6 linked regions of the Macaca fascicularis genome follow. The protein of the gene in region 4 interacts with the protein of the main gene of each other region in a pairwise test. Links are inferred from orthologs where the notes say so. Each region holds a gene or a part of one and is shown on either strand. Other genes may lie near its edges. The genes, in order: NMI, MTMR9, IFT20, EMILIN1, BEX3 and ZC2HC1C.

What was found.
Region 1: the proteins of EMILIN1 (region 4) and NMI interact in binary tests that used the Homo sapiens proteins (3 or more experiments, as listed by UniProt). The two-hybrid records come from large-scale screens. The link is inferred for Macaca fascicularis from reciprocal best matches to the Homo sapiens genes EMILIN1 and NMI.
Region 2: the proteins of EMILIN1 (region 4) and MTMR9 interact in binary tests that used the Homo sapiens proteins (3 or more experiments, as listed by UniProt). The link is inferred for Macaca fascicularis from reciprocal best matches to the Homo sapiens genes EMILIN1 and MTMR9.
Region 3: the proteins of EMILIN1 (region 4) and IFT20 interact in binary tests that used the Homo sapiens proteins (3 or more experiments, as listed by UniProt). The two-hybrid records come from large-scale screens. The link is inferred for Macaca fascicularis from reciprocal best matches to the Homo sapiens genes EMILIN1 and IFT20.
Region 5: the proteins of EMILIN1 (region 4) and BEX3 interact in binary tests that used the Homo sapiens proteins (3 or more experiments, as listed by UniProt). The two-hybrid records come from large-scale screens. The link is inferred for Macaca fascicularis from reciprocal best matches to the Homo sapiens genes EMILIN1 and BEX3.
Region 6: the proteins of EMILIN1 (region 4) and ZC2HC1C interact in binary tests that used the Homo sapiens proteins (3 or more experiments, as listed by UniProt). The two-hybrid records come from large-scale screens. The link is inferred for Macaca fascicularis from reciprocal best matches to the Homo sapiens genes EMILIN1 and ZC2HC1C.

The regions. Positions count from the first base shown.
Region 1 is NC_088386.1:46,844,477-46,848,436, forward strand, and holds the start of NMI (N-myc-interactor), read right to left. Parts: upstream 2,801-3,960; 5' UTR 2,737-2,800; intron 1-2,736. UniProt on the Homo sapiens protein: Acts as a signaling pathway regulator involved in innate immune system response.
Region 2 is NC_088382.1:9,627,640-9,631,785, forward strand, and holds the start of MTMR9 (myotubularin-related protein 9), read right to left. Parts: upstream 2,801-4,146; 5' UTR 2,716-2,800; coding exon 2,534-2,715; intron 1-2,533. UniProt on the Homo sapiens protein: Acts as an adapter for myotubularin-related phosphatases. Increases lipid phosphatase MTMR6 catalytic activity, specifically towards phosphatidylinositol 3,5-bisphosphate and MTMR6 binding affinity for phosphorylated phosphatidylinositols.
Region 3 is NC_088390.1:33,791,542-33,795,651, forward strand, and holds the start of IFT20 (intraflagellar transport protein 20 homolog), read right to left. Parts: upstream 2,801-4,110; 5' UTR 2,705-2,800; coding exon of another isoform or gene 2,692-2,704; 5' UTR 2,656-2,691; coding exon 2,580-2,655; intron 2,422-2,579; coding exon 2,293-2,421; intron 955-2,292; coding exon 869-954; intron 1-868. UniProt on the Homo sapiens protein: Part of intraflagellar transport (IFT) particles involved in ciliary process assembly. May play a role in the trafficking of ciliary membrane proteins from the Golgi complex to the cilium.
Region 4 is NC_088387.1:95,156,457-95,160,651, forward strand, and holds the start of EMILIN1 (EMILIN-1), read right to left. Parts: upstream 2,801-4,195; 5' UTR 2,351-2,800; coding exon 2,181-2,350; intron 1,235-2,180; coding exon 1,115-1,234; intron 654-1,114; coding exon 433-653; intron 1-432. UniProt on the Homo sapiens protein: Involved in elastic and collagen fibers formation. It is required for EFEMP2 deposition into the extracellular matrix, and collagen network assembly and cross-linking via protein-lysine 6-oxidase/LOX activity.
Region 5 is NC_088395.1:109,756,187-109,759,405, reverse strand, and holds BEX3 (protein BEX3), read right to left. Parts: upstream 2,023-3,219; 5' UTR 1,947-2,022; intron 1,543-1,946; exon of another isoform or gene 1,464-1,542; intron 1,108-1,463; 5' UTR 1,081-1,107; coding exon 745-1,080; 3' UTR 501-744; downstream 1-500. UniProt on the Homo sapiens protein: May be a signaling adapter molecule involved in NGFR/p75NTR-mediated apoptosis induced by NGF. Plays a role in zinc-triggered neuronal death.
Region 6 is NC_088381.1:143,018,294-143,022,222, reverse strand, and holds the start of ZC2HC1C (zinc finger C2HC domain-containing protein 1C), read right to left. Parts: upstream 2,801-3,929; 5' UTR 1,872-2,800; coding exon 540-1,871; intron 1-539. Other genes in the region: ACYP1 (acylphosphatase-1), read left to right, coding at 3,071-3,322, 3,547-3,713.

The sequences.
Region 1 (3,960 bases), on a different chromosome or scaffold from region 4:
AACCTGGACAGATACGTGTTACAACCACTGTCTGCTCTGCAAGCCCAACAGGCTTTGTACAAGGCCATTGTGTGTTCTTCGATTCCCTTGAATTCCCTTAGAAATCATTTACTAACCCCCTATAATCATCCACGATTCCCCATCTCCCTTTCCCCTAAAAAGTAGGGAATATAACCATCTGTACCCCATTGTGCAGTACAATCACTATGTGATTTTTTCCCCTGTGCACATTAATAAATGTGTATGCCATTTCTCCTATTTAATCTGCCTTTGCCCTTCAGAGAGCAAAGAGGAAGTTTTCCCTTGACCCCTACACTATCCAAGACATTATCAGGACAACTGGTGAAATTCACATTGGATCTGATTATTAAATTGTAGTAAGGTAGCACTCCACACTCCTGATTTTGATGACGGTATTGTGGTTACGTTGGAGCACATCTTTTTTGTAGGAAATATATACTCAATTATATAATGAAAGATGATAGGTCACCAGATTGGAAATTTATTCTTAAATAATTTAGGAAAAGGAAAAGTTGTTTTACTGTACCTGCAACTTTTCTGTAAGTTTGAGATGGTTTGAGACGATATATATATATACACACACACATATATACACACACATATATACATATATATATTTAAACCACGTCTCTCTCTATCTCTGACACATACACACACACACAGAGCATACATATATATCGCTATTGTATCAACTGCAAAATCTTCCTAATGGTCAGCCATGGTCTGCTGCATTCTAACTCCAACTCACTTTCCAGTCTTATTTAGTCAATTCCTCAACCCAGTTCCCTAACCACACTGAACACGTGCATAGTTCCTTTTCTTTCCTCTGTCCCTCAAACTGTCACATCCTTCCTCCTCTCCTAACCTTAATCTCCATCTAATGAAATCTTACTCTTCTTCAAGGTCCATTCCAAATTTTCCCCAAGTTCCCAAAGCCTTTTCTGATTCCCCTAAAGGATGTTACTCCGCCTCCTTTGTCTCTTTTGTGGCACTTTAATTATGTGTGTACCTGTGTCATTTTCCATGACACGTCAGTAAAGATGTTGAGGGCTGGGACCATGTCTACTCCTCCCTGCAGACCTTCAGAGCACTTTCTCAGTATAAGCTTACACACTGAAAACACTCAATTTAGATAATTATGTGGGATCTTCAGTATTTGTTGGACTCAGGACGTCAAGTGCATATGAAGTCCTCATTACATTTCAGAAGACACAAACTGCAATGTTATTTAGTTGCTTTTTATCTTTATTATTGTGACAATGCCAATCTTCCTAAGAGCCTGTAATAAAGGTTCTCAGCATAAATGGCCTACTGTCTAACACCCCAAGAACGCTTTTGGCATCTTTACCGTCTGGATACTTTTGCTCTACGCATGAGTGGGATGTATGGTCATTCCTTTTATGCAATCATGTAGTAGGCAAAACAATGGCTCCCTCAAAGATGTCCACATCCTAATCCCAAGAATCTGTGATTACGTTTGTTTACATTGCAAATGCGAATGAAGGCTGCAGATTGAATTAAGGTTGCTAATCAGCTTGCTTTTAAATATGGAGAGAATCCTGGATTACCTGTGGGGGCCCACTGTAATCATGAAGATACTTAAAAGTGAAAGCGGAAGACAGAAGAGAGTCAAGAGTGCGATGTGAACCCAGAACTCTCAGAGGTGCAAAGTTGCTGGCCCTGCAGATGGAGGAAGGGCTACTGAGCCAAATGAGGTAGGTGACCTCCGGAAGATGGAAAGGGGATTCACCCCAAGAGCTTCCAGAAAGGAAGGCAACCCTGCCTTTGATTTTAACCCGGTGAGACCTCGGTAGGACTGCTACGGAATCCTAAGATAGTAAATTGTGTGTGTGAGAGTGTGTGTATGTATGTGTGCGCGCGCGCGTTCCTATGTGTTTAAGCCACTAAATCCATGTAATTTGTTATGGCAGCGAATAAAAAAAAAAAAACTAATACAAATCACCATCACCGTATTTCCCTAAGTATAGTCATATCACTGCGGTGCCAGGCCGTGTAGAATCGAATCTTCCTATATGCATGCCCGGCAGCAAAAAGAAAGAAAGGCAATAGAGCGCCTGCCTGTTGTACAGACTGGAAACATAGTATTCTCCTTAGGATGTCTCCTTCAAGAAAAACCTTGCCTATTCTGAAATGCCAGCCATGAACGCACAACACTGCCCCTGCCAAGAACCGTTTTCTTAAGAAATCCATTTTCCTGCAATCCTAGCTACTTGGGAGGCTGAGGCAGGAGAATCACTTGAGCTGAGGAAGCGGAGGTTGCTGTGAGCTGAGATCGCGCCATTGCACTCCAGCCTGGGCAACAAGAGTGAAACTCCGTCTCAAAAAAAAAAAAAAGAAAAAAAAGAAATCCATTTTCCGAAGAACTATCTCTAGAGAAACTTCGAGAAAACAGCGAGGAAACACAAATAACTTTATGTTTCAATTTCCTGAATGAAGCAAAGCAAACAAGTGACAGGGCTGGAAGCCCTGACGGCCCAGAGACTACACAGCGGGCCCAGGAGCAGGTGCGCCCCCTCGAAGGCGGCGTGGCCTCTGCAACCCGCCTGCGGGAAGCTCCCGGGAGCAGGATCTCAACCGTGGCGCTGTCCCACTCCCGTCGGCGCTGAGGTCCCCCGCCTCCCTTTCCACCCCCGCTCTCCAGCCCGGGAATGCCAGCGGCGGGAGTGGCAGCCGGGAAACGGACTCCCCACTCACCCGCGTCCGCCCGCCGAGCGCAGCTCGCCGAGGCCCAGCGCGCCCGCTCTTCCCGGAAAACAGCAGCGCCCGGGACGCCGGAACCCCCGGAGGCACTGGGAGGGGAAGGGCCGGGCTGTCGTAACTGGTACTGCCTCCTGCAGTAGCGCCTCGGAAGAACTGGGGTGTAGTTCTGAGGAGGTGGGCCTCGCAGGAACAGCTCAGGTCCCTGCGAAAGGAAAAAGTGAAAAAGAAAACTGCTTTAACGGCGATTTTTCTTTAGCACTTAACCACTGCTCAAATACTAAATCTGGTGTCTCCCATGATGATGAGTCACTAACAGAAAAAAAAAAGTTAGAACTAATTTCACTTTCGATTTTTAAAAAGGGGTGGTTTTGCGGAGAAAAGCAGAAGTATCCCTGAAGTTTCTGTACACACTAATTTTAGGGAATGTTTTCTAAAACCAGTTTTTGCATGTATTTTACAAGGCATGTAGGAAAAGTGGATAGAAACCAAACAAAGTCAAAGCAGGAATCGCTCTTCAGATTGTAACTCTTGTAATTTCTTAGTCATTGTAGCACTAGTTTATAAATTTTTACAGCCAGCACAAGATCGGCGTTTCTGTGTCTTTGGTAACATCCCCGGGGCCATGAAGTTGGGAAAGCTGTGGTGTTCCTGTTGGTTTCTATGACCCGTGTCCCTTGAAAGTTTTCTTAAAATCTCTTGTTTTGTTGTGGAGCTTGTAAATAAATCCTTCACTAGGTGTGAACTTTTCCTTTGAAAATTCAAACATCTGCTTTATTTCAAGAACTGCAGTGTCTCTTAATCCCACACAAAGAACCACCCCACAGCTGCCCCTGTTGATAAATACAGATGTGGAAAGAAAATGAATCAAAACGATTTCAAGGCATAAATTCTAGGTTATCATGCTTCCTAGTCACATATAATAACTGATATAGTTGTCTAAACTAACAGATTAACAAAAGCGAATTTTCTGTATATCAAAAAGATGGGAACCAGTTTAAAGTGGTGACATTTCTTTTTCCTTTTTTTTTTTTTTTTTTTTTTTTTGAGATAAGTCTTGCTCTGTTGCCCAGTCTCCAACTCCTGAGCTCAAAGCAGTCCTCCCACTTCCACTCCCAAGTAGCTGGGATTACAGGAATTCACGACCGCACCCAGATTTTTTTGTACTTTTAATTTGGGGGCTGCAGGCAGGTATCTAACTGTGTTTCCTAGGCTGATCTT
Region 2 (4,146 bases), on a different chromosome or scaffold from region 4:
ATACGTATTTATTCCTGGACTTGCTTGATTGTCCATCTCCCCGGCCAGTACCTAAGCAGCTTGTCTTAGTCACCACCGCAGCCGCACAGCTAGACAGCACACATGGAAAACGGGTGGATGTGAAGATTTCTTGAAAGCAGCAATTGAACAAACTCTGATGTGATGCCTCCCCTATGCTCTTTCCACTACACCACACTGCTTCCCAGGAGAAAGATAAATGTGTGCACAGTTCGTCATTCTCTCCCAACAGATTCAAAGGTCCATGGCTCATCTGCTTCTTCTTCATGCACTACAAAGCCCAGCACCTTGTAAACGCAAGGTAAACAGGAGGAAAGGAATGAGCGAAAAGTAAACACAATAAAAGGTAAATAAGAAAGGAAAGGCAGTTGATGGTCACGGAGAGACTACTCATTTGTATTCAATGGCGTCACTGAACCATTCAGCGGTCAATCCTTCTTTTATTTCCTATGTGTCTATATGCCCAAGCCACAGTTAGAAGTTTCGAAGGAGATAAAAATGAATTCCAGTTGTGGAATTAACAGAAGAATCTGTGAAGGAGGTAGCGGTCGAAATGGTTAAACTGAATACTCATAGACGGGTAACAGGCTCATTGCCATGTGAACTCCTGAAAGACAAGAACTGTGATATATTTTATTCATCTTGGTGTCTTAAGTGCCTCACAAAATGTCCAGAACATAAAGGCATTTGGCAAATGTTTAACAAACTTGGGAGAGGCAAGGCATTCCAGCAGAAGGAAGAAGTCAATAAAATACACAGATGACGGAATACAGGACATATACCAGCACCAGTAAATGGTGAGGACTGGCTGGTAAAAAGGTTCATGAAAGGAAGTGCAAGAAGGGCTCATTGAAAGAAATGGCAAGAAATAAAGTGAGAAAGTAGGCTAGGGCTGGGACACAGAATGCCATGAATGACTGTGAGGGGTTTAGATTTTCAATGAGAGACCACTGAAGACTTTTTTTTTTTTTTTGAGATGGAGTTTTGCTCTTGTTGCAAAGGAAGGAGTGCAGTGGCGCGATCTCGGCTCACTGCAACCTCTGTCTCAAGGTTCAAGCGATTCTTCCACCGCAGCCTCCTGAGTAGCTGAGTAGCTGGGATTACAGGCGCCTGCCACCACGCCCGGTTAATTTTTTGTATTTTTAGCAGAGATGGGGTTTCAACATGTTGGTCAGGCTGGTCTCAAACTCCTGACCTCAGGTGATCCGCCCGCCTTGGCCTCCCAAAGTGCTGGGATTACAGGCGTGAGCCACTGCGCCGGGCCCACTGAAGACTTTATACAGCAAAAGGTGACTTGAGGAGACTAATACGAGCCCCCTGCTCAAATCAATCAATCTACCGCTGCTTCACCCAAACTTCCTGCAATTCTACCATTAGAAATTATTATTTTAGGCCGGGCACGGTGGCTCACGCCTGCAATCCCAGAACTGTGGGAGGGCAAGGCAGGAGGATTGCGAGGTCAGGAGTTCGAGACCAGCCTGGCCAATATGGTGAAACCCCATCTCTACTAAAAAATACAAAAATTAGCCGGGTGTACCGGTGGACACCTGTAATCCCAGCTACTCGGGATTTGCCACTGCACTCCAACATGGGCAACATAGTGAGATTGGCCACTGTACTCCAGCCTGGGCAACATAGTGAGATTCCGTCTCAAAAAAAAAAAGAAATTATTATTTTAAGGCATATCCTCTCTAGGAATCTTCCTAAAATCCAAATTATCCTGTGAGGCAATAGAAAACGTTGTCGTCATTCATTTCTACTTCCGTGTAAACTGGATGATCAGTTTGCCCTCTCCTGGCTAGAGAGAAGCCACTAAGGAGATGGAAATTTTGACTGCAGATTAAAGTATAACTTTTTGACTTCGAGGCACTGCCTTGGAAAGATAGTCTGGAGTACAAAAAGGAAAAAGAGGTTAATTGGTCCATGCCTTTCCTTGAGAGCCAACCCTGTTCTTTCAGCAAGCAGAACTGAGTAAAGATGAAGAGAAGACAACAGAACCTCCCCTAGTGAGAATGAAATTGATGACCCAGAAGGTAAGAAACATAATAAACTGAACATATTTCAGAAATTAAAAAATGGTTCTGAGGCATGTAGGCACTCATAACTTTATAATCAGTTGAATTTTCCTCAAAAATGGTAAACACTTGCCTAAGTCACATCCAATCACAACTTCATGAACTGTGATTGACAATACCGATTCAAGGAATACGATGGGGCAAGAAGAAGAAATTTATAAAGACAATGCCGAAAATCCACCCAAATGGTGTTACGAACCAGATCATCAGGATGATACCAGCCACACGATAACCCTGAGAACTCCATCCAGGTTTAATGGAAACCGGATCCTCCATCTGGACGGGTTTCTGCCAGGTAAATCCTGATTCTAGGCCACAGAGGGCTCATCCTGCCGGCCAGCTGGGCGGCAGGATGCGCGGAAAACGCCAGGAAGTGTTTCCCGGGGCGCCCACAGGGGATCCCCGGCTCCCTGCGGAGCTGGGGTGGGGCAGGCACTCACCGCTTGTCGATGGCGTCGATGTTTGAATGAAGGAGCCACAGCTCCTCCGTGTTGTCCTGCCGGGAGGACAGGATCAAGTGGTGGCCCGTCAGGCACAGGGTGCCCTCGACAGCCGGGTAGAAAGGCCGATGCAGCACCACATTGTCCACCCGCGGGGTCTTAATCAGCTCCGCAAACTCCATGCTCCCCCCGCGGCCGGAGCCAGGGAACCGAGCCCGGCAGGTGCGAGGCGGTTATCCCGCCGCAGGGAGAGGAGCGGAAACACCCGGCGCGGGGCTGGCCCTTGGGGCGGGGCGGGCCGGGCGGTGAGGCTGGGCCCGCCCCAGGCTGGGCGGGCGCGGCGAGGCCTGCAGCCGCCGGCACCAGCGGCAAGGAGACAGGCGCTGGGGCTGGGCTAGGCCCGGGCGCCTCTCCCGCACCGCCCCGTCTCCCAGGCCCAGGACTCGGCCACAGAGAACGCCTCTCCACAGGCCCAGGGACCGCCGCTGCCGCTGGGCTTCGTGTCCCGCGTGGGCACGCGGCGGGCAGTAGGACGAAGCCGCTTCAGGACCCACCTCCACGCCCTGGCCGCTAGGGACTCCTGGCGGAAGTGGCTGCTCGCAGCTGGAGCCCACAGCAACTCCGGGCGGAAGCAGCAGGTCTCCAAACTCGGAAGACGCGGAAGTCGCAGCCGGAAGTCGGTCCTCTCTAGGTCCTCTGGAAATGCCTCCGGAAACACAGCCAGACCAGAAGATTTGGGTTCCTACGAGAAAAAAAAAACTTGTCTTTACCTTCACGCCCTCCCGCTGCCCTTCTCACCCATCTACAAATATTCCTTATCAGAAGAGGCCCGTTAAGAGGGGACGATGGGAGGAGGTCCCTGTCTTGTCTCCCTCCGCTTGAGTAGTACCCCCTCCAGAAGCTCTTCAGAGCGTGGGGCTGCTGTAAATTGTGACAATTGTTATGCATTAGCCCTGAAGAGATGGCAAGTATGGGATGAGGCGGTGACTGTGACCTTAGGGAATCCTCCAGGGGTCAGGGAGGGACACAGGGCCACGCCACTGACTCCCCGTGAGGGCCGCGCCACGAAGTGTGACCTGGAGCAAGACAGGAATACCTGTGAGAGGAACCCAAATAGATGTAGATGCGATGCACAGAAGAGTAAGTCACTTGAGTTGATGGCGGCCACCCAGTCAATCTGCAGCAGAGCATGGACTTCGATCTGCACCTGTGAAACCCAGCGCATGGGTGCATTGGTCACCACTGCACAGCCTCAGCGTCAGACACCCACGTTGCGCCAAAAATGTATTCAAATAATTACTCCTTTGCGTGTTCCTTTCCCACCGCCCACTTGAAACTGACATTTTTATTCAAAAATAGGAAATAGAAGAGAAATATGTTTGAGTGCTGGTCTGCTGTGACTTCATTGACCTTTTAAATCCTCACCATCTAGTACCGAAGCACAGGACAAAATCTCACAGTATTCACGAAGTAAATTGCCACAACCTCATCAGCTCATCCAACACTTGTCCATGCTTTTGATTTTGCCCTTCTTAACATGTTCCCTTCTTAAAATAAAACACTTTTTAGAACTGTCGTAAGTGAGATAGGTAAATGCCTACCAACTTTCCTTG
Region 3 (4,110 bases), on a different chromosome or scaffold from region 4:
CGAGACCAGCCTGACCAACATGGAGAAACCCTGTCTCTACTAAAAATACAAAATTAGCCAGGCGTGGTGGCGCGTGCCTGTAATCCTAGCTACCCGGGAGGCTAAGGCAGGAGAATCACTTGAACCCTGGAGGCGGAGGTTGCAGTGAGCCAAGATCGCACCCTTGCACTCCAGCCTGGGCAACGAGAGGAAACTCCATCTCAAAAAAAAAAAATACAAAAAAGTAATCTGGGTGTGTTGGTGCACACCTGTAGTCCCAGCTACTTGGGAGGCTGAGGTGGGAGAATCTCTTGAACCTGAGAGGTGGAGGTTGCAGTGAGATTGCGCCACTGCACTCCAGCCTGGGTGACTCTGTCTCCAAAAAAAAAAAAAAAAAAGATTAAAGGAAATAAAGACTGGCGTAAGTTCAGTAGGTTAAGTGGACTAGAAGTTATTAAAATCTTTTTTTTTTTTTTTTTTTTTTGAGACGGAGTCTCGCTCTGTCGCCCAGGCTGGGGTGCAGTGGCTGGATCTCAGCTCACTGCAAGCTCCGCCTCCCAGGTTTACGCCATTCTCCTGCCTCAGCCTCCCGAGTAGCTGGGACTACAGGCGCCTGCCACCTCGCCCAGCTAGTTTTTTGTATTTTTTAGTAGAGACGGGGTTTCACCATGTTAGCCAGGATGGTCTCGATCTCCTGACCTCGTGATCCGCCCGTCTCGGCCTCCCAAAGTGCTGGGATTACAGGCTTGAGCCACCGCGCCCGGCCTTAAAATCTTAAATGAAAACTCACCCACCCACCCCTCTAAACAAATCAAGAGGGAAGAAAGATGAGAGGGTAGTAAACTAGGGTCCCAGGCCAAGACGTAGGCAGAAGACATGCTGATCTTACCTTCATCTTTTCATTTTCTGCTTCTTTTGCAAGTTGATCAACAAGCTCAATTAAACCACCAACTATTTTCTGAAACTGGCCAATTTCTTTCAGAAAAAGAACAAAAAATAAAATATTTCCTCAGTCTCATCACTGCCCTTCAGTAAGAGTGCTGAGGCAGTGCGAGGGCAGAGCTGACTGCCCCTTCTAATTTGTGTCAAAATAGTTTGGTGTGAGCCAGGCATGGTGGTGAGCACCTGTAGTCCCAGCTACTCAGGAGGCTGAGGTGGGAGGATCACTTGAACCCAGGAGTTAGAGGATGTGTGATCATGCCTGTGAACTGCCACTGCATTCCAGCCTGGGGAACATAGCGAGACCCTGTCACTTAAACACTTTGGTGCCTATTGGCCTGTCTCCTACCCTTGGTCTGAACCTAGAGAAGGGTGGCCAGCTGGACCAGGACATACCCGGACCTTGTGTCCCCACTGAGCCAACCAGCTGCTATGATCTCAGGCTATGAAAGCACTAGGCCCTTGCTGGGCTCATCCTCCAGACAGACCCCAACCTGCTTCCCCAGGAATGACAGGAAGCACTGTTGTTCACAAAAGGGCAGCCTCAGGACACAAGCGCTGCCTCTGGACTAGCTACGGGTATGACACCAGATTTCAATTAACAGTGGGGATGGGGGCTTCCCACTTGTAACCACAGAAAATAGAGAGCTCACAGCATTAAGTGCCTAATCTCCTGTTCACTTTCTCCAATGTCCTGGATGTGACGGAAACACAACTTACTGAGGGAAAACTAAGGCCCAGAGAGGTGTGTGCATGGCACATCAATCACAGAAGGTTAGTGACAGAACCCAAGCTACCTTTCACTAATCAAGCTCTCTCCACAACCTAGGAAGCCCCCAGAAAGCTCAGAAATCCCTTGCTCTAGCTAGATAGGGCTCTGTACTGAATGCATTGGGCTTACTTGGCTGCTGGGACAGGAGGCTTCCTGAAGATTTCTAGCCAAAAGATGACTTCAGTAAGTCTGTTGAGCTGCTTCTAGAAACTTCACTTATCACTTCTAACTCCAAATAACAGAGAACCTGCCACTAAGAAGACTTCCTCTAAAGAAATCAAATCAGGAGTACATAATTCTATTTCTCACCCCCAAGCCATGGTTATGTTCCCAGAAAGTTTAAGGTTTCTAAGAGCAAGAAATGAAAGATGGCATCTCTAAAAACACCCTCCCCATCCCAGTGTTTGGTTTGACTGGTGCTCTGCTGGGGACACATGAGAGCACGAGGGCAGGCAGAGAAGGGTGGCACATGGGAACTCACAGATGCCAGATTCGACCTCCAGGGAGCCAGCAGCTCCACTGTGGCAGGGCCAAGATGAGCCTGGGGTACAGTTGGAATGGCAGCTCAAAGCTGAGTGACACGGTATCTCCCCAATACTCACTGTCCACAAAGTCTTTGCACTCTTCCTTCAGCTCTATGGTCTGCTGGGTAACCTCTGGGTCCAACACCCGCAGCTTGTTCAGTTCATCAAAGTGCAGCCCTGCTTCACCCAGGATGTCCTTGGCCATGGCTGCAAAGAAACCAGCCCAATTCCTCATCACTTCCTAGCCACCCAATGAAATGCCTGCTGCCAAGCCAGCCCTGTTCCTGCCCTTGGACACCAATGCCAAAAACCCAGATGTTCCAAAGGCTCCCCATTCCCTCTGCCACCACCTCTCTGAGCCTCACCTGTTTCCCATCCAGACTTCCTAGAGGAGTTCTGCTCTGAAGGAGTGACAGTGGCAGTCAGGAGGAGGTGTGTCATAGGAGCAAGGGTCAGGAAAGAATAAAGTCCGCTTACTTGTCACAGGCATCGTTCATTCAACACACATTTCTTGAGTGCCTACTACATGCCAACACTGCTAGATGCTGGGGGTACAAAGATGAATGCAACACGGTGCCCGCCCTGAAGACACATAGTTCAGCTGGAGGAAGACAGACACGGAAACTGAAAAATCACACTGTGTTAAATGCTTGTTTAGAAATATCAGTAAAGAGCCAGAGGAGGATAGAGCCGTTAAAGAAGGAGTGACATCTGAACTAAGTTGTGAGCCATAAGTGTATTTACTTTATATATCACCAGTTATGTACCCAAAAGCACATGAGAAGGCTTCTCAAATACACATACTGGAACAACACACAAACCAAATAAAAGAAATCTGGGTGAATTAAAAATTATGGTTAAAAAATACAAAGTCAGGAGTAAGAATATTACTCAAAATGTATGCTTGCCTGAATTGGGAATCAAAGTTGGGTTATTCTCTTTCTAGCAGAAAACACAAAAAGGAATGAAGTATCAGCAAGAACGTATCAAGGCAGCAGGCCAGGGATAGGTATTCCAAGCAGAGAAAACAGCATGGACAAAGGCCTGAAGTCACTGAAAGGACCTACCCCGCCTAAGGATGAAAGGAAAAAGGATGGAGCTGAAAAGGTGAGCTGGAGCCAGACCAGGAAGACCCGTATGCCAAGCTAAGGAGTTACGATTTTTTCTGTAGGCAACAGAGAACTAACAAAGATATCTTCTCCCTTTCCAAGCCACCTTGCATTTCTGTTCCAAAGGATGCCTCAATTCTGGGAAGGAAATACTGAAAACTCACCCTCGTTCTGGCTCAAACACACACACACGCACACACACACACAAAATTAAAAATAGACATCATATGACCTGTTTAAAAAGGGAGGCAATGCTAGTTACATCTAGCAATTAGCTGCTATGCCAATTCTAAAACCCAGGTGCTCCAAAGTCTACCATCACTTGGACCTGCACCAGCCTCTTCCCTCTACCCTCACTGCCCCCAGCCTCAGCTGTTTCCCTCGTGGCTTCCTTAGAGAAGTCCTGTTCTGAATGGGGTGATTCTGGGGGTGGCTGTCTAGGGCAGGTGTGCCACAAGAGGAGCAATGGTTCGAAAATAATCAAGTCTCACTGTTTCCAGAACTTCTGGATCTTTTGTTGTTGTTGTTATTGTTGTTGTCGTTGTTGTTTTGAGAAGGAGTCTTACTCCATTGTCCAGGCTAGAGTGCAGTGGCATGATCTCGGCTCACTACAACCTCCACCTCCTGGGTTCAAGCAATTCTCCTGCCTCGGCCTCCTGAGTAGCTGGGATTATAGGCGCCTGACACCTTGCCCAGCTAATTTTTGTATTTTTAGTAGAGACGGGGTTTCACCATGTTGGCCATGGCTGGTCTTAAACTCCTGACCTCGTGATCCACCCACCTCAGC
Region 4 (4,195 bases):
TGCAATGCATGCTAGGATTTGTAGTCTCAACTGTCTGTCCCCATGGACCAAGCTTCTCAAAGGAATGCCCCCTTCTCCTGCAGCTGTTTGAAGGATCTTGGCCACATGTGGGCGTGTGCGAGCACCTTCTCTTTCTCAGCCTTCTTTTTCTGTCTCTCCATCTTTTGCATGCTCGCTGTCTCACACACAAACACCAAGAGAGACACACACACCCACACACACATACGCACGCGCGTGCGCGCGCACACATAAACACACACACACACACACACACGGGCAGGGAATCTCTGCGATCTCACTAACTCCCTTCTGCCCCTCTCTTCTTTCTGGCATAGAGCATGGGAGATTCCCCCAGCAGCCTGGCCCCGCATTTCCCATTGCATCGGATCACCATCTGGCACTTGCCGCCCTCGAAGCAGCTCCCACACTCACCTTCTCCCCCCAGTCCACTGAGGGGGCTGCCCGCACTGGAGCCAGAGAGGTTGGGACGGGCAGGCCGGGGCAGGGGCCGTGGTGTGGAAGATGCAGGCCCCAGCGCTGGAGCAGGACTCTCAGCACAGTCATCGCCCCCGTAACCCTGACAGCACCTCCACTCCATGTCGGTCACTGTCTTGTAGGCCACACGGTAGCGAGGGCGGAGGAAGCGGCGGTACCTGGCAGAGGCAGAAGGAGGCCTCTTTATTCCTCCCTGTATTGTTAGTGACCCTGGTCCCTGTCCCAAGGGGTGGGCAGCTGCTGGTGGGCATGGCCTGTCCCTCAGGCTGGGTCCCTCTTACTGTCCAACATGTGGCTTTGCTCAGCTGACAGCTGTCAGCTTTTTGGTCAAGGGCTAAATCCCTGCTCTTCCTTCCCTTGCCCTGCGCTGAAACCTTGAACTCCTCTGCTTGAGCCTGAGCCATCCCAGAGAAGGCATCTGGGGCTGGCGCGTGAGGCAGGTTTGCCCTTAGTCTCCCACCAGCCAAACTGTTGTCTCAGTATCTCCTCAAAATGGCTGCGACCCTAGACCCTGTCCTGCCCTTGCTCCCTGCTTTGTACAGACTCCCTGAGTCAGCCACCCACCATCTGCCCTCACCCAGTTCCCACCAAGGGCCCATTCCCCGGCCCTGGGACTCACATGATGCTTTGGGGACACTGGGGTTGGCCCCAGGCACAGGGCTGGTACTTGACATATGTCTCCACTCCATCCTCAAGGACACAGCTCACTGTCCGGGTCACCACATAGGCACACCAGTTCCTGTAGGTACAACCCCCTCTGGGTCCAAGGACCAAAGATACACGTCCTGGAGGAGGGCCCAGGGGCTACCAGAGGGGCTGAGGAAGGCTCCAAAGATGCAGGGCCCTTGGGGATCAGTGAGAGCAAGGACTTTGGCAGGGCCACCCTCCCTATCCCCCACGCTTTCCTGTGTAGCAGGGGCAGATAAAGACTTTTCAAGATGGGGAGTGGTGCAGAATGGTAAACCACAACCACAGAGCAGTCAGCCCTCATGGCGGTGAGGCCCTGGGGAGCCTCTGAATGTACACGATCACGTGTGTCCCTTTCTGGGCCTGTCTCAGTCCCCAGTTTGGCATGCCGTGTGCGCACAGCCAGGCTGGGCCCTGTGGGTGATCTGAACACTGGCTTCCACCCCACCCCTCCGGGAGAGGATGGGCAGGCCAGCTCGGGGTTAAGTAGAGAATAAGCCATTGATGAGCCTGCCCCTCTTGCAGTTCTATACTCCTGGCCCCATTCATGCCGGCCTCTGATCTGTGTCTGGCTGAAGGGCTGGAGGGAACAGAGCGGGAGTGGTGTCAGAATTATGGATTACTAGATGGGGCCAAGGGAGCCCTAGAAGGGGACAAAAGGTCTCCCTGAGGCTCTGGGGCTGGGATACAGAGGGCAGCTTGCAGGAAGGCCTGGCCTGCTCCCCTCAGGGCAGCTTCCCTGGGTATATAACTGCAGGGCCCCATGGGGGCATGTGGGAGCAGACCCCCTAGGTGACCCAGGGAGCATATATGTTCAGGGGGTCCTGGAAAAGGTGCTGTGGGAAGGTGGGCATGTGAGGAGCCACCTGATGGATGGGCTTCTCACTCCCCCTCTGCCCTGCATTAGGGGACACAGCCCAGGGCAGAGAGCCAGGCGGAGGTGGCATTCTGAGCCCCTTTTCACCACCCAAGCCTCGGGCTGGGACCCAGACTCTTACCTGTGGCGGCTGGCTGGCCGGGGGGCGCTCTGGGCCTGGGGCCCCCCGGGGCTGAGGGCCCCACCGGACCCCGTGTAGAGGCTGTAACCTCGAGGAGGGTAGCTGGCGGCCCCCGCAGCTGCGGTCAGCAGGCAGCAGAGGTAGCAGCTCCAGAGGGTGCGGGGGGCCATGGTGGGGCGCTCCACAGTGGCCCTCAGAGACTCATCCCGCCCAGCCACTGGCTCCTCTGCTGGCCCCAGGGATGCTGCTGCTCCACAGGACAGCGCGAGCCCGTCCTGTCCGTCCCGGCTTCCTGCCGGCAGCCCCTGTCCACACGTCTTCTCCTTGGCTGCCTGGCCTGACCCCTCTCCCCTCCTCTTTCCTCCTCAGCTCCTGTCCGTCCCTGCTCGGTTCCTTCCGCTCTTCTCTTCACTTCTGAGGGGGTTTGTTTTCTGTGCCCCCTCTGGCCTCTGGTCCCTGCCCCTCTCAGGAGCTGCGGCTCAGAAGTTGCGTCCTGGGCTTCCGCCCCCTCGTCCCAGCTGGCCCTCTTCTGGTCTCCCTGTCCTCTTTCCCTGATGACCGGATCCTGGGGGTGACAGGGCTTTGCCCCTGTGGCTGTTGGGAGGCACGAGAGTGGCCGTGGGGCGGGCCCTGGCCTCCTCCTCCCTGCTGGCTTCCCTCCCTTCCCCCCTGTCTGGCTGGCGGTCCTGCCTCCCCCTTCCTCCCCCCACCTCTCCAACCATCGTGCGCCACATCTGCTTCTTGTTAACTCCGGGAAAGAGGGAAAAAAAAGGAAAAACAGAAATGTGGAGTTGCCGCCGGGCTTGAGGCCAGCCTCTCAGATGGGCCACATGGAGCCAGGGCCAAAGCTGGGAAGGAGGCCCAGGGCTGGTCACTCCGACGGGGAACGGGAGCCAGAGTCGCAGCTCCCCTGGGGCTGGAGCAGGCCTCCCCTGGGGGAGAGGGCCCCAGAGAGGGAGCCCAGAGGGGAGGGCAGGATGGAAGGACTGGACAAGGGAGAATGAACTTGGAGAGCTCAGCAGGACTTCACTCACCATCTAGTCCAGCAGTCTCCTTTTAGAGATGTGAAAATTGAGGTCAGAGTGGGAGAGTAACTTGTCCAAGGTAACACAGCAAATCAGTGGTAAGGCTGAGAACACACACTAAATACCAGGTCAGTGACTTGGGAGAAAGGAGGAGAGGAGAATGTGCTAGTGGGCCAGGAAGGAAAAGGAGTCCTTACTCCACTGAGGCAGATGGGAAATCCACAGACGACAGAAGAGGAAGAAAGGGCCGGGTGTGGTGGCTTACGCCTGTAATTCCAGCACTTTGGGAGGCCAAGGCGGGCAGATCACAAGGTCAGGAGTTCAAGACCAGACTGACCAACACGGTGAAACCCTGTCTCTACTAAAAATACAAAAATTAGTCGGGCGTGGTGGCGTGCGCCTGTAATCCCAGCTACTCAGGAGGCTGAGGCAGGAGAATCGCTTGAACCCAGGAGGAGGAGGTTGCAGTGAGCCAAGATCGCGCCACTGCACTCCAGCCTAGGCAACAGAGCGAGACTCTGTCTCAAAAAAAAAAAAAAAAAAAAAAAAAGAAGAAGAGGAAGAAAGGCACCTAGCAATGGGGAGCAGGCTTCTGTCAAGCAGGAGAGGGCACGTGGGCAGGAAGACGAAGAACCTTTCTTAAAGGGATAAATGAAAATGGGTCCTGGGCTTGTTTTGGTGACGGTCAGGCCATAACTGGGTGGAGGTGGGGTGAGGTGAATCGGGACTGACCTCTAGAGCAGCAGAGGCAGTCAGTCCCTAGTCTGGAGGTGAGTCTGATAGCTCTCAGTGACAGGCAAAGGGCCGTCAGCCTGACCTGAAAGTTCCACCTGCGCCATCTTGATCTAAAAGCTTGGTCCCTGTCACCACCTGACCCTCAGTGCTTGACCAGGGTCTGCAGGTGGTGGGATGCTTTGGAGAAAGAAACGGAAGCACAAGACAGAAAGGAGACAGGAGAATGCTGTGTGCCAGGCACTGCGGAGGTGCCCA
Region 5 (3,219 bases), on a different chromosome or scaffold from region 4:
GTTGAGCCAGTATTGTTATGTATCTGCACTACATTCATAATCTCATTGAAAAATAATTTTCATTGCTTCTCAAACTCCAGAAAATAAAAGGAAAAAATGTCACATATCATTTTTTTTTTTTTTTTGACTGAGTCATGCTCTGTCGCCCAGGCTGGAGTGCAGCGACGTGATCTCGGCTCACTGCAACCTCTGCCTTCTGGGTTCAAGCCATTCTCCTGCCTCGGCCTCCCGAGTAGCTGGGACTACAGGCGTGTGCCACCATGACCGGCTAATTTTTTGTATTTTTTTTTTCAGTAGAGACAGGGTTTCTCCGTGTTAGCCAGGATGGTCTCGATCTGCTGACCTCGTGATCCGCCTACCTCAGCCTCCCAAACTGCTGGGATTACTTATCACACAGAAATGTGCCCCAATTAACACTCTAGTGTATTTAATCTCAGATTTTTTTTAGTTCATCTGTTATATGTAAGTATACATTTTTAATGAGACAATAAATGTATAGATTGCTTTTTAAATTGCTTTATTAGCTTTAAATTTTTCCATGCAAATGGGTGAAACTACTGCTGACAGAAACTTAGACTGAGTGCAAAGGCAATTTCCAAATAGAAGCTGGCAACACAAGACCCACTTGACACATGGAAATAACAGGGTTCACAGCAAACGGATCAGTAAAGGCATATTAGGAAAATGCAAGGAAAAAGAAAACAGCGGGAATCACAGTATTAATCTCATGATAAATGGCAGGAGTCAAGGCATAAGGCAAAATTCATCATGATGGTCATGGTGATTAGAGAGCTCCCCCATAAGGATACGCAGACAATTCCTCAACTGCAGCTCCCTAAGTTTTCTCCTGATTTCTCTCATCTCCTCCATGAATATTTCCATATCATCTCCATCTCCACCCATCCCATCATTGATCTGCCTATTGGGTATGGCCCATCGAAAATTAGGGGCAAGTCGGCGCGCCTGTCCCCGTCGATTTCCTGCAGGCTGGTGGCCTTCACCTCCTCCCAAAGGGCGGTCTTCCTCTCCATTCTGCATAGGCTGCTCCATCTCTTCGTTTTCCTGGTGAATATTTGCCATGATGAGATTTTTTTTCTGGTTGTTTTTCTTTGAACACAAGTAAGACAAAGGCAAGGAGAGAGACTGAATGCTTGGTGCACTGACCAGCAGGATTCAGAACCCTGATATCAAAGGATTTTTTCATTTCATTTTTTCCCAAGTTGGAAGTTCCGTGCGTCCTCTAGGGGGCCTCCAATTAGAGCCCCTCCCTCCAGCTTTCTCCCCTTACCTCCCTTCCCCCAAACCCACCATTTTTCCTTTCCCAGGATTCTTTCCCAGAGCTTCGCAGGCACCAAAATGGAGGACCGGTATAGGAGTGGGGGATGGGGTGGAGGGGGTTGGGGTCTCAGACTGGGCTTTCCTCACGTTCCGACCCCCGCCCCACCACCGTCCCTCGAACCGACCTGGGCCTATCCTTGCAGTTTCCTCCTCCTCCGGATTCTCGCTGCTAGGTGCGCCGCGGGGACACTTAGCCTCGCAGACCTGCAGTCGGGCCGGGGTGGGGGGAGTGGGGGCTGCTGCAGCGACACGCTAGAGAGGACCAGCCGCCGCCGGCCCTTTCCCTGCCCTGGGCCCGGGCTCCCCTCGCGCCAGCGCCCCGCGTCTCCCACCCCCCGCTCCCACCCCACCCTCGGCCGCCCCGGCCCCCGCGGTGTTCCCCGTTTTCCTGCAGGGACTCGGGGGTGGTTTTCCATCGCTCTTGGTGGCTCTGCCGCCCCTGGAAACCCAGCCGCCCCTGCTTCCCCACCCTTGGGGGCCTCTATGTTCCCAAGCATGTTGGAGTGTGGAGAAAACTGGCGGGGACCCCTGCGCTGTTCTGCGCCCGTTGCCGGGGTCGGTCAGCCGCTGCTGGCATGGCCGGGGCGCGCGGGCCCCGGGGCCCTTACCTGCTCCGCTTTTTCCCGGGCCGGATGCCAGCCCGCCGAGCTCAGGGCAGCGGGGAGCTGGTAGACAGACGCGAGTGACGACTGCACCGAAGGCTGCGTCGCTCTGCAGCTCTGGGTCACGTGAGGGCCGCGCGTCACCACCGAGCTCGCCCCCCAACTTGGGCGGCCAGTGCAGCAGGATCCCCCTTCCCCCCCACCGCCATATGCACGCGCAAAAAACAGCCTCCCTACTCCCGTCTGCGTGAAGTGCCCCAGAGCGCACAGCCCTGTCACTCTTCTCGGTCCTCTCCAATCTGAGGGCCCACAAGTGGCATCACTGCTCTGCGGTTGGAGTTTGCCCTCCTCTGGTTACCAGGGAGGGTCTGCATCATCCACCACCGCCCCCTCTCACTTCAGGCCTTGGTTTTGGCCTTTTCTGCTTTCTCTCCTCTTCTACCTGGCAACATGCTTTGCGCTGCACTCCCACTCCTGCCCCTTGCGTGTGCACAGCCATCAATGCCCACGTAGCCCCTGAAGTCCTACCATTCTAGAAAATTTAGAGTGATGGCTAAGGTGGTGAGGCAGGAGGGCACTTGTCAGAAAGAGGGGCAAGGAAGTGGAGTGGGCTGTATATATTTCTTTTTATTTCCTTAAAAAATCTGCATGCTTCCGAAAATTATAAATTATAAGTTTTTAATTTTGAAAGAAATGCTGGCCAGGTGCGGTGGCGTACCTGTAATCCCAGCACTTTGGGAGGCCGAGGCGGGCGGATCACTTGAGGCCAGTAGTGCGAGACCAGCCTGGCCAACATGGTGAGACCCCGTCTCTACTGAAAATACAAAAATTAGCTGGGCGTGGTGGTGGGCGCCTGTAATCCCAGCTACTCGGGAGGCTGAGGCAGGAGAATCGCTTGAACCCGAGAGGCGGAGGTTGCAGTGAGCCGGGATCACACCACTCTAGCCTGGGCAACAGTGCGAGAACCTGTCAAAAAAAAAACGAAAAGAAAAAAAAAAAAGGAAATGCTTTATCCTGCAGAATGAAATCTCTGTCATTGTTTATGTTGACTTGTGCCACACGAAATATTTTCTCTGGGCTCCACACAACATCAAACCATTACTTTTGATACATACTAGCTCGTTTAAAATTTTATTTTTGGCCGGGCGTGGTGGCTCACGCTTGTAATCCAGCACTTTGGGAGGCCAAGGCGGGCGGATCACGAGGTGAGGAGATCGAGACCATCCTGGCTAACATGGTGAAACCCCATCTCTACTAAAAATACAAAAAAAATAGCCGG
Region 6 (3,929 bases), on a different chromosome or scaffold from region 4:
TGAGCCACCGCGCCGGCCAACACTGAGCTAATCTTAACAGACTACATAGTTAAAGGAATGCTCACAGATTCTAGTCTTGGGAGGTGGCAGAATACATTGCAAAGAGTGAGGCGTTCTCTCCAGGTGACAAAAGCCTGCATTTTTTTTCTTTCGATTTTTTGTGTCTTTTGAATTTTCTACAGTAAACTTTTATTACTTTTATAATCCAAAGGACACAAATTCTTAGTCTAGATTTTTTAGTCATTCTAACCAAGATTTATATGCTGACTCTGCCACTTAAAGCTGTTTGTGACCTCAAGCAAGTTACTTAGCCTGTCCAAGTCTTGATTTTTGAACTGATAAAATGAGAGATAAATGCGAGGATCACATGCAAAGCTCCCATCACAATGCTGGCATACAGTAGTAATCAAGAAATGTTAATTCTAGACGTCAATTCTTCCTACATGACACATGAATTTTCCCTAAAGAAAACTGATGATGACAAAACAGACCCCTACAATGATCCCCACACCAAGTCACATCCATAAGGCTCTTGTTACCTTGGCTGAAGCTGGCCCCTTCCAGTTCAAGTATTGCTCTAGTTCTGTGCCCTTAGCCCGGGCCCTGGAGGAGTCAAACACTTTCCTCTTGGAACCCTGCATCCTGCTGCAGATGTTGGAGTGTCTCTCCAGCCTGAACAAGAGGAATTTTCGCCCACAGTGGCTGCACTCACCCAGCTGTGGCTCTTCAGTGGAGCCGCTGGAACCTGAGGAGTCTGGTGCCATGGACAGGCTGGAATTTCTGGCAGATCCCTGCAAAGCACCGCCTGGTGTTTCTGAAGGCGGGGAGAACTTCTCCATCGACGGCTCTGAGACTCGGTCTCGAATTTTGTTATTGCTTGCTACCAGCCTTTCCCTTTTGAGTCTCTGGATTCTATAATCAGAGAGCTGGAATGGACTCGAATTTTGTTGAGACCGTTCCCAAGTTTCATCCTCTCTCCTGTCTCTACTAAATTCTTCCTCAAAATCAAATTCTGGGGAGAAGACAGCTTTGTGCGTGGTGTTGCTGTTATTACCTTTAACTCTGCTCCTGGGGAATATAATTTTCTGTAGCTCTCTGTTTTCATTTTCCTTGGCCTGTTCCTTTTGCGTCTGGATCCTTCTGAGTTCCTCCTCTGTCTTCTTCAGCTTTCCTCTCAGGAGAATCTGCTTTCTTCGGATTTCCTCCTCTAAGCTCTCCCCTGCAGCTTCTAGTCTTTGGATCTGCACCCACTCCATCCTGTCCAAGTTTGCCAAGGCCTTCTCCGCCTGCATGGCAGCAAGAACAGGATCAACCACAGAAAAGTTGACCTGGTTCCTCACATCAAAGTTCCTGGATGAAAACTCTCTCAGTTCAGGGGGCCTTGGGTAGACATTCTGGTCCCCATCAGTGCCAGACTCACCTGTACTGCACGACTTCCTGTGGACCACGGGTTTCAGTGGGTACGCCCGGTCCACTCCAACTCGTTTCTTTGTAAAGGGGATAAAGTCCTGGTTATTGGCTTTGGGATACCAGGATTGAGGGCCTGATGAGTAAAACAAACCATTTCCTTGGCCCTGGAAATCACTTCCTGCATCTTGGTGGCTGATTCCAGTACAGTGGGGATAGGAGTAGCTCCGGGCTTTTGTGTTCCATTTGGGGTGAGTGTGGACTTTATCCAGAGTCAACTCTTTGTTGCTCAAAAGCTGCTTCTGGAAATTGTTCCTCAGGTGCCCCTTCAAGGACTGCTGGGAAGAGTCACTTTGTTCGTAAGAGTCTTGCTTGGCTGAGTGGGGCCCTGGAGCTTCTGTTGTATTATGTGGAAGCATAACGCCCACAGGCAGATGTGATGCCAACCGCTGGAGACCAGCCATTCAGGGCCTGGACTGATGCCTACGGGAGATTTAAACCAGATACATGCGAAGAGTTTGTCTGAGGTTCACTCTCGTCTGCTAAAGCAAACTATTTCAACATTTGCCCTGCCCACATTTCCTTAAACTTTTCTGGGGACAGTGGTGCTGGATCTGCCAAAGCTTCCCTTCAAAAACCATTTGGTGAGTGATTACTATGCACAAGACACTGTGTTAGGCCCTGAGGGTAGAGAAACGGAGGTGCTACAGGTGTTCCTGCCACCTAGCTCTCCTCTCCTCCAGCACCAGCCTCTGCCACGCACAGTATACTCTACAGTAAGTGGAAAGAGCATCGGATTGAAAGTCAGGTTTTAGGCCTGTAACAGGACAAGCGACTTCTCCCTTGCTGGCCCCCGTTTCTTCACCTGTAAACTGAAGGGTTCCGTCCGAGTCCATCCTCACCATTTTACAGGTGAGCAAGCTGTGGCCCAGAGGTAGTGACTGGCACAAAGAGCTCTCAGGGCTTCCCTCCTGCTGGAACCGTGCTTGATTCAAAAGAGCACAGAGGCTGCTAGGGCCTGGAGCAGGTGCCTGGCTGTCAAACCCTCATCCCAGGAGTCCCCGTGGCGCAGACGGTAAAAGTTTTGTAACCTGAGCGTTGAGGGCCACCTGACCTGGCTGCAGCCGGTTTTAGATCCTTAAGGCTGAAGTCACGTTCTGTCCCGAAGGGTCAACTGGGGCGCCCCCACTACGGACTCCGCCTCTGGGGACAAGTCCTCTCTCTCTCCTGCCCTTCGGGCCCTTAGGAGGTGCTGACCCTCTGTCTCCCCGCCCTTCTGCGTACCTGAGGCCCTCGGGCACCGCTCCTGCTCAGGGGAAACCCCAGGGCCTAGTTTCCCAGACCCGACCTCCCCCTCAACCGACGGCCGCGCAGGCGCTCTCAGCTAGCTTCTGTTATTCCCGGTGCCTGGAGACCGAGTTACTGGCGGGCCAAGCTCCGCCCCTCGCTGCGAACTCCTTGGGGAGGCGTGCGCAGGCGCAGTGCACCAGCGACCCGGGGCGACCGGGGGTGGGGGGTGCGGTCAGCCCGACCGTCACTTGACCCAGTCAGTGTCCGGCCAACTCTGCAGCCGGGTACAGCCCTGCCCTTGGGGAGCCGAGGAAGGGCGGGAGAGGCTTTTCTGGGGCTCCATCAAAGAAGAACTTGTACTTTCCTGAGAACGATGCTCCCAGACCTTGGGGTGTGCCCTTCACTGGCAAAGGGCGGAGGCCCTGGCTGTGCCTCCGCGTGCTTCCGCCGCAGGGTGCAGGCGACCGCCTGCCTGGTGGGAGCGGGGCTGCTGCTGACCTTTCTCGGCGCGCTTGGCTGCGCTGGGCGGGCCCCAGGTATGGCTGCACGTGCGCGCTCCCTGCTTGTCGTCGCCAAGTCTTTGGAACTTGCTGCCAACGTTTTTGCTACGCAGTATCTTTCCGGGGTAATTTTTGTGGCCAATCTAATTATTTTGATATTATAATGTTTTACTCTCACGTGGTAACTCTAGCCGTCTGTACTTAGGGCGTAGGAATGACTCAGCCAAGTGTAATGATAATAAAGAACTACCAGATCGAAAATAATCAGTATAACCTGGTTTCAACAGTAAATGATACTCTGTAACTTGTTGACATCAAAAGAAAGTTTATTTTTTTTTCTTCGCTTCAGTTCATCTGTGTAGGACGTTGGGAACAGGCAGTTCGCTTTTTCCCTGTAACTACTCAATTCATGCACTTGGAAAATAATGTAGACAAGCAGTCATCAGTGTTAATACTTCAACATGTCATATTACAGCTGTTACCTGTTACAAAGAAATTCCTTGGTGGACCCTCCAGGTCAGTCCTTCTTTTTTTTTCTTTTCTTTTTCTTTTCTTTTCTTTTTTTTTTAATTCCTCGTTTTCATCCCTTGTTGCCTGCACCACCTCTACATATATGCAGCTCCAGATGTTTCCCACTCTACTCAGGGTCCCAATTATCAACTCCCGCAGCTTCCCTCAGCAGGATGTACCGGCTTTCTTTCTCTCTCTCTCTCCTCTTCCTTCTCTCCCTTT